Callithrix jacchus: one gene and its partners. The protein of the gene in region 1 interacts with the protein of each later gene in a biochemical or structural test. Links are inferred from orthologs where the notes say so. Each region holds a gene or a part of one and is shown in the gene's direction. Other genes may lie near its edges.

Region 1 (3,656 bases):
GAAAACTCCCCTCTGTCAGATCAAATGCATTCCTACCACCATCACTATGATTCTATCCACAGTAATTATCATAAAAGCCTAACAATATCTGGTAGATGAATGTTCTGAGTAAGTGTCCTAACCAGATTTAAGACTGCACCAAAACCAGTAGAGGTTACTTCACTTGACACAAGTCGGTTATGATATCTAAATTCTAGTTTAATCTGCGAAGAGATTTGAGTGTAACTGAGACACACTTAAATGGAATATACAGATGAGCTTTATTTTTATATCTGGCATGCTTGGATCCATGCCGACCCTCCAGCTGCTCGGGCCTGCCCTTAGGGTCTCTGGACCGCATGACTCTATCAGCTGCACCGCCGCCGCCGCCGCCTCCGCGCCGCCTGCGTTCCTAGACCATCAGGCCCAGCAGGCGCTTTCTGGGGGCGTCCCTACCGGCTCCAGCCCTCGGGGTTCGGGAGCGCCTGGCTGGGAAGCCAGAGCCCTGCAGGGTACCGGGGCGTCCTGGCCTCCTAACGCGCGCCCCTCGCCCGGCGCCCCGAAGCGGCCCCGAGGGGCGGGAGCCGAGCCCAGAAGCCAGGCCGGGCCTGGGGCGCAGGGCGCCCCCATAAATGCGGGCTTCCCCCACCCCCGCCAGCGACCCCACCTCCCGCCCCCGCTGCGTGCGCGCGTGTGTCAGTCTGTCTGTATGCTCTCTCGACGTCAGTGGGAATTTCCAGCCAGGAAGTGAGAGAGTGAGCGACAGAGAAAGAGAGAGAAGTGCACCAGCGAGCCGGGGCAGGAAGAGGAGGTTTCGCCACCGGAGCGGCCCGGCGACGCGCTGACAGCTTCCCCTGCCCTTCCCGTCGGTCTGGCCGCCAGCCGCCGCCGCCCTCGGCCTGCACGCCGCCGCCGGCCCGGCTCCCGGAGCCCAGCGCCGCCGAGGCCGCAGCCGCTCGGCCAGGAAGGCGCGCCGCCGCCCGGCCACAGCGCGCCCTGCGCTTCCCTCCGCCCGCGCTGCGGACATGGCGCGGCGCTGACTGGCCCAGCCTGGCCCCGCTGCGCTCTCGCTCGCCCCGACCCGCACCCGGGCCCGCTCGGGCTCCGGCCGGCCGCCGCCTCTTCCTTCTCCAGCTCTTAGGCCCGCGCCGCCCGGGAGGGAGAGCCCACCCGCGACAGGAAGCCGAACGCTGACTCGCCACCCGGGTAAGCCAAACTCGGGCGAGTGGGGACCCGGCAGGGTACGCGTGGCCCGAGTCCCACCACCCAGCCCTCCGCACCCCTCCAGCCCCACTCGGACTTCCTTATTCCTGCGCTAACCGCTGGGCTAGACCGTGGGAGAAGGTTGACAGTAGCTGAGAGGCACAAGGGATTGGAGACAGCGGGGAAAGGCACATCCGGACCTCGCAGGGGCTAGTCGGCCGAAGGGCCGCGGCCGCCGGGCGGTCATTCCTCTTCACGTCCTCGGCGCATCCGGACCTTGCAGGGGGCTACTCGGCCGAAGGGCCGTGGCCCCCGGGCGGTCATTTCTATTCACGTCCCTCCGCGGGGCGGGAACGCTAACCGGTGGGGAACTCTTACAAACTTTTAAAATCCCCACCCCCAGCCGCAGCTGGGGGATGGTGAGAAGGTTGAGGTGCGCTGCGGCGCGGAGGAGAGAGGGAAGGTGGTTGGTGCAGTGCAGAACCAGATTTCACCTAAGGGCGTTCCATGAAATGAAAGCAGAAGTCCTTGTCAGTCCTTTTGGCTGGGAAAGCCCTCTCCAGCTCCCCAGAATTGAATAGGAGAGTCTATTCATCCCTCTCCTACTTCTAAAGGAAGGCTGTCCCTCCCTCCCTTCCTCTCTCTCTCTCTGTCTCTCTCTCTCCCTCCCCCCTCCCTCCCGCCCTCCCTCTCCCCCTGCCCCCCACCCCCCAACCCACCACACACACGATATAGTCACTTGCATACTTAGAGCACTTTTTAGACTTGATTATGTAAAACTCTTGGACAGAGTCACCATGCATTGTGCATGACCTCCAAAACAAAAAATAATGTAAAAACAATGCCTAACCTAAATGTAAGTTTTCCTATGGTCTTTAAAAACATATACACCAGGGGATGTTTGCCCTGGCTTACTGGTCTATCCTGAAACTCAAATGGGACTTAATGATACAGGATTTAATTATCAAGATTCAAGACATTTTCATGTACTCTGTTAAGTAGAGGTTTTCAGCATTACAGTTTATGAACTAACTGTATTTAACCTAAAGATTTTGTTATAAAGCTCATAATCTGAGAAAATGCTTATGGTATTACTAAAACATTGACTAGCTCTGGCATCAAAATATTCTTCTACACACTGGTGATCTTTAGTAAATACTAAAGGTTGGGGTCATGATGTTCCATACGTTTTTTCTAGCAGAATCCGACAACTGAATATTATCAAGCAGTTTAAAGTGCATTCCTGTTTGTTAAAACTTTAAAAGGGAAACTTAAAACTGAAGTATGTTTTTTTTTCCTAATTATAATACTGTGCTTTCTAGAGGTGAATCCTTTTACTGTTTGAGGCACTATGGGAATTATGTATTTAAATTTGAAGCAGAGTACTTTTTTTAGTTTATAAACTTGGGAAAGCAGGAAGTAAAAAGATCTGTTCCTTGTAGAATTTTACATTCATGATTTAATTGAATTGCTAAAACGAAAAGAGCTTATACGATTAATGGAGACATGAAATCTGAGATTATTCATCCATATTGATATACCTGCAATTCCTAAATAGCCTCCCCTGCTTGTTTAGATAAAATGTCTTCCTGGGCTACAGCCTGCTGGACAAACTTGAACACAAAGGAACACGTTATATGTATGCTTAATACTGCTGCTTGCAGTGAAAAAACCACTTAAACTCTTAGAGACTTTTTAAAGAAAACAGTATAATCCTGGGTTGCTGGTGATTTAAAAATCTTATTATCTTTTTTTTTTTTTTTGAAATTTCTTATGTTCTGCATTGGTACTCACTTGTGCTGAGTAAATGCCCCTGTTTTTCAAACCCAGGTAGTAAATATGGGGGTATACATTGCAAAAATAGTCCTTCCCCTTCCCCTTTGTAAGCATTGCTTTGATCTTTGCACTTCCTTTTTACTCTACCTCTTAAACAAGATCTGTGATGGTTGAGTTGATTAAAGCAAATTAATCTGAAATTGGCAGAATTTTATATTTAGTGATCATATTCCTTACATTTCTCTTGTTACTGTTCCTGGAAACAAATTGAACTAATTTGAGAAACTAATATTTATGCAGGTTGCTTTAACCACACTTTTAGACTTGCAGATAATTGATGGAGTAAGTTACTACCTTGACTTTCAGGGATTGCACATTGTGGGAGAGATAGGGAATTGACAGCTACATGAATCTTGGATGATCCTTCCATCAGCAAGACCTTATTTTTACCTAATTTATGAGAGGTATTTCTCTGTTCAGAGGAGGTGAAAGTTCTGGCTTTTGGGGGAAGTGGTTGCTTCATAACCTTCAGTTGGTTTGAACTTGGGAGAAGTAAGACGAGTAGTTGATTTTTCAAACAGTAACATAATTGTGTCTGAGTTGCTATATAGATTTTTTATAAAGTACTCAAAAATGTCATCTTTTTCATCTTCAAGTCTTAGTAGATGTGCTATTCTGAGCATAGAATTGACTGCAGT
Region 2 (3,750 bases), on another chromosome or scaffold:
AAGGAACTGCCAGTGGGGTAGGACAACCGGGAGGGGGTGGCGTCTCAAAGATCTGCAGAAGAGTTTGAAAAGCAGAGTGGCCAACAGTGTCATGGGGTTGACAGGCCCATGAGGACAGAGAAGACATCTCTAAATCTGCTGAAAGGGAGGTCAGGGTTACAGGAGCTAGTTCAAGTGAACAGGTGGGAACCAATTGGGTGGAAGGGGGACTTGGAAACAAGGCAACAGAGACAGGGAGTACTATTTGCTTTGAAAGACTGAAAAGAGGTGATAGTGAAGGTCGACTGTGCTGGGGTTTTTGTTTGTTTATTTTTTTTGACACAAGGTTCGCTTTGTCGCCCAGGCTGGAGTGCAGTGGTGCGATTACGGCTCACTCAGCTTCTACCCTCCTGTGCTCAAGCGATCTGGTCACCTCAGCATCTTGAGTAGCTGGGGCCACAGGCACATGCCACCACACCCGGGTAATTTTTTAATTTTTAGTAGAGACGAGGACTCCCTAAGTTTCCCAGGCTGGTCTCAAACTCCTGAGCTCAAAGCAATCCTCCGGCCTCCGCCACCCAAAGTGCTGGGAGCCACCGCGACGGGCCTCCTCCAGCTCTTTTTTTTTTAAGGTGGGGTCTCGCTCTGTAGCCCAGGCAGGAGTGCAATGGTGCAATCCCAGTTCACTGCAACCTCCGCCTTCCCGGGTTCAAAGGATTCTCCCCCTCAGCCTCCCAAGTAGCTGGGATTACAGGCACCTGACATCATGCCCGGCTAATTTTTCTATTTTTAGTAAAGGCAGGGTTTCACCATGTTGGCCAGACTGGTCTCGAACTCCTGAGCCCAACCGATCCACGGGCCTTGGCCTCCCAAAGTGCTGGGATTACAGGCGTGAGCCACCTCGCCCTGCCCCACCTCTTCTAGATAGAAGAGGCGGCCCGCCTCCAACCGAGCTCCGGGACGCATGCCAGTCTCCGGTTTCGCCTGCGCATCGGTCTCCCGTGCGGTCTCACGCGTTTCCTTCCCGGCCCCCGCAGACAAGCGTAGAGCTTTCTTCAGTACTCGCTCTCGTGCGCGCGCCCGGGCGGCGCCTGCGCAGAGGGCGAGGAACCTGGTGCCCCCGTGTGGTCCCGGCGCCTGCGCGCTGCGGACTCTGGGGCCTCCCGGCCCGAGGGAGAGGAGCAGGGAAGATGGCGGCTGTGGTGGAGAATGTCGTGAAGCTGTGAGTGGTCGTTTCTTTCTCTCCTAGGGCGGCAGGTTTTGTAAAGGGCCTGGGAGGAGGGGGCCGTGCGGGAAGAGATGAGACGGAGAGAGGGACATGCCCGGCAAGATCGTGTTGCGACTCCTGGTGGGGAGGGCAACAGGAGACTCTGGAGAAGACGTTGCGCTTCTTTGGAAACTTGTGGAGGCCCTGATGGGGGCACACTGGAGCCTCGACGGGCGGCCTCCCTGCGGGGCTGTGTAGCCTGAGCGTTCCTCGGGGCTGACGGTTTCTAGAGCATGGCGCCCTGCCTGCGCGCGAGACTCACGGTCCCGGTCCTCTCCCCAGACGCCTCAGTCCCGAGGAGCGGGGCTGAGGCCCGGGCGGCCCCTGGCGAGTCCGCCGCCCAAACCGCCCGGTCCCGTCCCGTCCGCTGCAGCAACAGGGTCGGCGGCCCCAGTGGGGTGCACTGCGGGGCTGGATGTTTTAGTTCCGAGCGGCCCCGTGACGTTTGGGAGGATCTTGGGTGGCGGGCACCTAAGACTGCAAATATTCTTGGGAAGAATTTGTCGAAGAGCGGATACAAGAAGGGAAGGAACTTCAGGGGAGCGGGCCTTGGCGCAGTCCAGAAGCAGCCATCAAAAACCTGCGGCTGGACCGAAGCCGTTCAGGACAGCTCAGTAGCCTAAAGGGACATCCAGATGGGTATTCTTCCTATTTCACGGTACCATTGTGCTGGCCAGATATCAAGCAGAGTTAAAGTTAGTATTTGTTGGGGCCATGGACACTGGCCTATGAACTGCTTCCTGTCAGTTAAAGATGCTTTGGGACTTGATTAATTCCTACAGAAGAATGAGAACGAGTTTTGGACTGGGTTAATGCCCCCTAGGCGAATAGAGCTTCTTTTAATGGGTACGTTGGGCTTGGTGGAAGGGTGGGAAAATTGAGGATGTCTAGCTGTCCAGTCAGGGCTGTTGGATTTTGACGGAATGAATGACAGTGGAAGAGTGGGAAAATTGAGGATGTCTAGCTGTCCAGTCAGGGCTGTTGGATTTTGACTGAATGACAGTGGAAGGGTGGGAAAATTGAGGATGTCTAGCTGTCCAGTCAGGGCTGTTGGATTTTGACTGAATGACAAAGTAGAGGTTCGCTAGCTGTTCTAAGGGACTCACCGCTTTTCATCCGTCTTTATCGTGGGCTGAGCCCCACTCTTCCTAAGAGCCTTTTTAAAGAGTAAACTGCTTCTCCCTCATGCCCTGAAGCCTTTTCTTTGAGAATGCTTTCCCACTTCCATTAAGCTAAGTGCCTTTCCTCCTCGTGTGTGTGTGTGTGTGTGTGTGTGTGTGTGTGTTTCATTTAACTTGCTTTCTGATCTATCCTGTCTCTTTCAGCCACCCTCCTCCCAACACTATTGTCTTTCTCTCTGATCTGCCCACTCCAGTTTCGCAGCTCTCTTGAGGCTGACATTTTTCTCAATTTAGAAATGACACTGTTTGTATACCGGTTATCCTTCCTGGCTGAGATGTTCTTTGTTTCCCTGCGTCTTTGTTGACTTCCCTTATCCCATTGGAAGGGGATGTTTTACACGGGTTTCTCCAAAAATAAAAAGAAAGATTCCCCTTGTACTGGAGGAATATCAGACTTGCCTATGTTTTGAGAGTTAAACGTAGTGGGGCTTTTTGTGTTGGAAGACTTTCCTCAGGGAGATAGGGTTGCCAGTGCTTTCAAGTTGTGTCATAAGTGAGGGGTTCCCATTTAAACCGCATGACTTCTGATTTCTCTTGGAAAAACTATAGAGATTGTTTCACCTGCCACTAATTCCTGAATGCCAGTAATGAGAAACCAACTTTCTCCTCATTTCTGGCTGTACAGGGCCTCAGACCACAGTTAATACGTACTCCTGCAGAATGATCCCTTTAACAAGGGCTTCCATTCTTCCAGTTCATTGGAAAGAGATGCTTTTCTGGCACTTCTCTTGATTATAGTGTGCCTAGTCTTCTGACAGTTGATATTATACACTGAGGTCGGGACCACTAGCTCATATTTTCTTTTATTTTTTTGAGACAGAGTCTTGCTGTTGTCAGCCCAGGATGGAGTGCAGTGACACCATCTCGGCTCACTGCAACCTCAGCCTCCCAGGTTCCAGCAATTATCCTGCCTCAGCCTCCTGAATAGCTGAAAGGCAACCCACCACCACACCCAGCGGGTTTCAACATGTTGGCCGGGCTGGTCTTGAACTCCTGACCTCAGAGGTGATCCACGGGTCTCAGCCTCATAAAATGCTAGGATTACAGGCATGAGTCACCGCACCCAGCCACTCAACTTTCTGACTTGCATCTTGTCCTGGGAGAAGAATTTTCTTATTTGTAAATTTCTGTCCCTTCCAAATGTGATGTCAGAAATAAAAATCTTGGCTGAGCAGGGTGGCTCACGCCTGTTATCCCAACACTTGGGGAGGCCAAGGTGGGTGGATCGCTTGAGGTCAGGAGTTCAAGACCAGCCTGGCCAACATGGTGAGACTCCATCTCTACTAAAAATAGAAAAATTAGCCGGGTGTACTGGCACACACC
Region 3 (3,750 bases), on another chromosome or scaffold:
GCTTTATTCCCACTGCTTTTGAACCTCTCCTGAATTGCACTGGGTCTTTGTTTCATCTTTCCATCAAGCCAATTTGTTCTTCTCCTCTACAATTTTATTTCTCACATGTGAGAAATATAACTAACTTTCAAAATGTAGCTTTAATAATCTAGTGGTAATATTTAATGCTTGGTTTATGGAGACTAATTTAGCTGTTAGCTGTTTGAAATAGCAAGTATCTTTCATTAAATAACTTTACAGAATTCAGAGGAAACAGCTGCCATTCAGATGCTGAGATTTTTCAGTGGCATTTTTTATACTATATTAACAATAACCGTAACTATAAATTTCAGACCTGTGAACTTTTAAAATTAGATTGACTCATAGTATCATTTACGTAACTTTCTCTTTCTTCAATGAGTGGGATTAACAACCTACATTAACTAGATTTTGCATTAAAGCATTTTATATTAAACTGTAGCTTTATAACCAAATTTGTGAAAATTATTTGAACCTGCAAAACTGCTAAAACATGTTTTTTCTATTTATTTTTCCAAAACTTAGCCATGCCAGCCCAAGAACCCTCACAGGTTAATTATAATCATGGCTTGTTTCATATAAATATGACATGAGGCCGGGCATGGTGGCTCATGCCTGTAATCCAAGTACTTTGGAGGCCAAGGCGGGCAGATTACTTGAGGTTGGGAGTTCAAGACCAGCCTGACCAACATGGTGAAACCCCTTTATAAAAAAAAAATAAATAAAATATGACATGAAATGTGAGCTAGTAAAATTCTAAGAATTCTGTCACATGTTTAAGACTGAAGTGGGTTTTTTGTTTTCATTAATTAAGGATTTCCCCCCTTTATATGTAAAAACAGGTTGAAAACAATTATGAAGTTTGGGAATTAGTGTGGATGAGCATGACGATAACATTATCTCTCAAATATTAAAATAGTAGGCTGGGCACAGTGGCTCATGCCTATAATCTCAGCACTTGGGAGGCCGAGGTGGGTGGATCACCTGAGGTCAGGACTTTGAGACCAGCCTGACCAACATGGCAAAACCCCATCTCAATTAAAAATACGAAAATCAACCAGGCATGGTGGCACATGCCTGTAGTCTCAGCTACTTGGGAGGCCAGCAGGAGAATGAATGGCTTGAACCCGGGAGGTGGAGGTTGCAGTTAGCTGAGATCACACCACTGCACTCTAGCCTGGGCAACAAGAGTAAAACTCCATCTCAAAAAAAAAAATTGGAATGAATCAAACAGATTTGCTTTCAAATTCCTAATTTTAAGAAGCTTATGCAAACTTCCTTGCCGACCATTTTAACACCCTCCTCCTTCCCCAACAAAATGGGCTCCTCGTTTGTGTTAATGTGGCACTATGCACAGACCTTTCTTCCATAGCACTCAGCAGATGGTACCGTAGTTGATGGCCTGAGAGTTTCGTGTCAGGCATCTCTGTGTGTAATGTTTAATGCAGAGTCTGGCACGACGTTGGTCATGCTGTGTTGAAAATATAGGAAGTAGCATTTTGAAACGTGTAACTGGTGTTTTGTAAAATGACTTGTCAAGTGTAAAGTTTTAAATGACGTAGAATATGCTAATTGTCTCACTTTAATTTCATAATCTCAATAGGACTATACAGGCTCCGACCCAAGTTCCAGTGGTTGTGTCTCCTAGAAACCAGCAGTTGCATACAGTGACACTGCAGACAGTGCCGCTGACGACAGTGATAGCCAGCACAGACCCATCAGCAGGTACCGGCTCTCAGAAGTTTATTTTACAAGCCATTCCGTCATCACAGCCCGTGACAGTACTGAAAGAGAATGTCGTGCTGCAGTCACAGAAGGCGGGCTCTCCTCCTTCGATTGTCCTGGGCCCTGCCCAGGTGCAGCAGGTCCTTACTAGCAATGTTCAGACCATTTGCAACGGAACCGTCAGTATGGCCTCATCTCCATCCTTCAGTGCCACTGCACCTGTGGTGACCTTTTCTCCGCGCAGTTCACAGCTGGTTGCTCACCCACCTGGCACTGTAATCACTTCAGTTATCAAAACTCAAGAAACAAAAACTCTTACACAGGAAGTAGAGAAAAAGGAGTCTGAAGATCATTTGAAAGAGGACACTGAGAAAACAGAGCAGCAGCCACAGCCTTACGTGATGGTTGTGTCCAGTTCTAATGGATTTACTTCTCAGGTAGCTATGAAACAAAATGAACTGCTGGACCCCAACTCTTTTTAGTTAATCTACCAAAGCTTATGAATAATTGGTTTTTAATTGAACATTTCAATTGTATGCAAACTGATTGATTCTAAGATAAATTCTACTGAGGTTCCTACTTTTGTAATTGTTAAAAATAGAGTTAATTTTGACTTTAATAGATGAGGGAGGAAAACTCAAGTGTTAATCTTTGTTCTCTAAATGTTTCAGAATTCAATTGTGAAGGAACAGGCATTTTACACTATGAAGACATTCTTTTGAGATCTCTTTTTCAGTTGCTATATCATAAGCATTTTCGAAGTTTCTTTTCTAATTTTACATTGTATTAGGTTTTCTGATTCTTTTGTAAATACAGAACTTAAATATGAGGCAACAGGAAATTTATATAGGAACTATTTTCATTCCATTTGTATAAGTAAAGTCTTGACTCTTTCAAATAGAAAAAACCTATTTTATGCTTTGTTAAAATTGTGATGTCACTTAGACTGACTTTAGTTGGCTGCACTATATGAACTATGAATATGTAAAATGACGTGAAAAATTGGAGGTGCCGCTGGTGTGGCTGACCGGTTGCAGAAGCAGGGCAGTATGGAAGCGTCTGCCTAAGAATGGCACTCCCACTAACCAGCTGTGTCCCCTTGACCTTTTGGGGCCTTAGTTCTTCTCATAAAAGGAGGCAATGTATTGGACTAGACTAGACGATCTCCACTTTCTCTTCTAGTTCTAATTTTTTTAATTCTAATAGCTATATTTTCAAGTTATGTCAATTAAAACATCAGGTTATTTTCTAATGTAAAAATAGCTAAAATGTTGCAGAAAAATGAGTGGCTTAACAAAATTTCTTCATCTGCTATGGGTAAATCAGCCGTAAATTCTTCCGAAGTAGTTGGTTTAGTAACCCTAGACCACCGTGCCATTTGCGGTCCATTAGCAAACTCACATTGCTAAGTGCTAAGCAGAATACTGCTATTTTGAGAGAGTCAGGACTCTGAAGGGCCAAGAAAGCAACTCGAGCCTTAGGCTAATCAGGCTGAGTAGTCAGTTATAAAAGCACAATTGCTTTATATTTTGGATTGTTTTTTACTGGGGGTAGACTTGGGGGGTTGCATACAGAGATAACATATATCCAAGTTTCTGAAATGAAATGTTTTTACATTACTTTTTCAACTGTAGATAATGTACATTTAATGTCACAAGAAAAATGGTCTTCTGCAAATTTTCTAAGTATAACAGAAATTTTTGTAGATGAAAAAAAATTATCTTTAGAGGTCTAATGTTATGTTTTCATATTACAGAGTGAATTTGTATTTAAACAAAAATTTAAATTTTGGAATCTAAACATTTTTGTATCTTTAATTGGTTTATTATTAAATAAATCATGTAAAAATTCTCAGTGTTTCTGTTTTCAGGCAAAAGTTTCTTGAAAGAATAGGTGTATAGAGCACACCGCTAGTATTTATAGCATTACTGAATGTTTATAAATAAACTCCATTAGTCAGAATTGCAGAATATCATCCTTTCACTTTTCCTTTCTGCCTGACCAAAT

What was found.
Region 2: the proteins of NFKB1 (region 1) and DPF2 form a complex in vitro, tested with the Homo sapiens proteins (2 studies listed by BioGRID). The link is inferred for Callithrix jacchus from reciprocal best matches to the Homo sapiens genes NFKB1 and DPF2.
Region 3: the proteins of NFKB1 (region 1) and ELF1 form a complex in vitro, tested with the Homo sapiens proteins (2 studies listed by BioGRID). The link is inferred for Callithrix jacchus from reciprocal best matches to the Homo sapiens genes NFKB1 and ELF1.

The regions. Positions count from the first base shown.
Region 1 is NC_133504.1:94,841,772-94,845,427, reverse strand, and holds the start of NFKB1 (nuclear factor NF-kappa-B p105 subunit), read left to right. Parts: upstream 1-728; 5' UTR 729-1,185; intron 1,186-1,382; exon of another isoform or gene 1,383-1,575; intron 1,576-3,656.
Region 2 is NC_133511.1:122,417,448-122,421,197, forward strand, and holds the start of DPF2 (zinc finger protein ubi-d4), read left to right. Parts: upstream 1-1,127; 5' UTR 1,128-1,169; coding exon 1,170-1,201; intron 1,202-3,750. UniProt on the Homo sapiens protein: Plays an active role in transcriptional regulation by binding modified histones H3 and H4. Is a negative regulator of myeloid differentiation of hematopoietic progenitor cells. Might also have a role in the development and maturation of lymphoid cells.
Region 3 is NC_133506.1:160,139,856-160,143,605, reverse strand, and holds the end of ELF1 (ETS-related transcription factor Elf-1), read left to right. Parts: intron 1-1,621; coding exon 1,622-2,225; 3' UTR 2,226-3,591; downstream 3,592-3,750.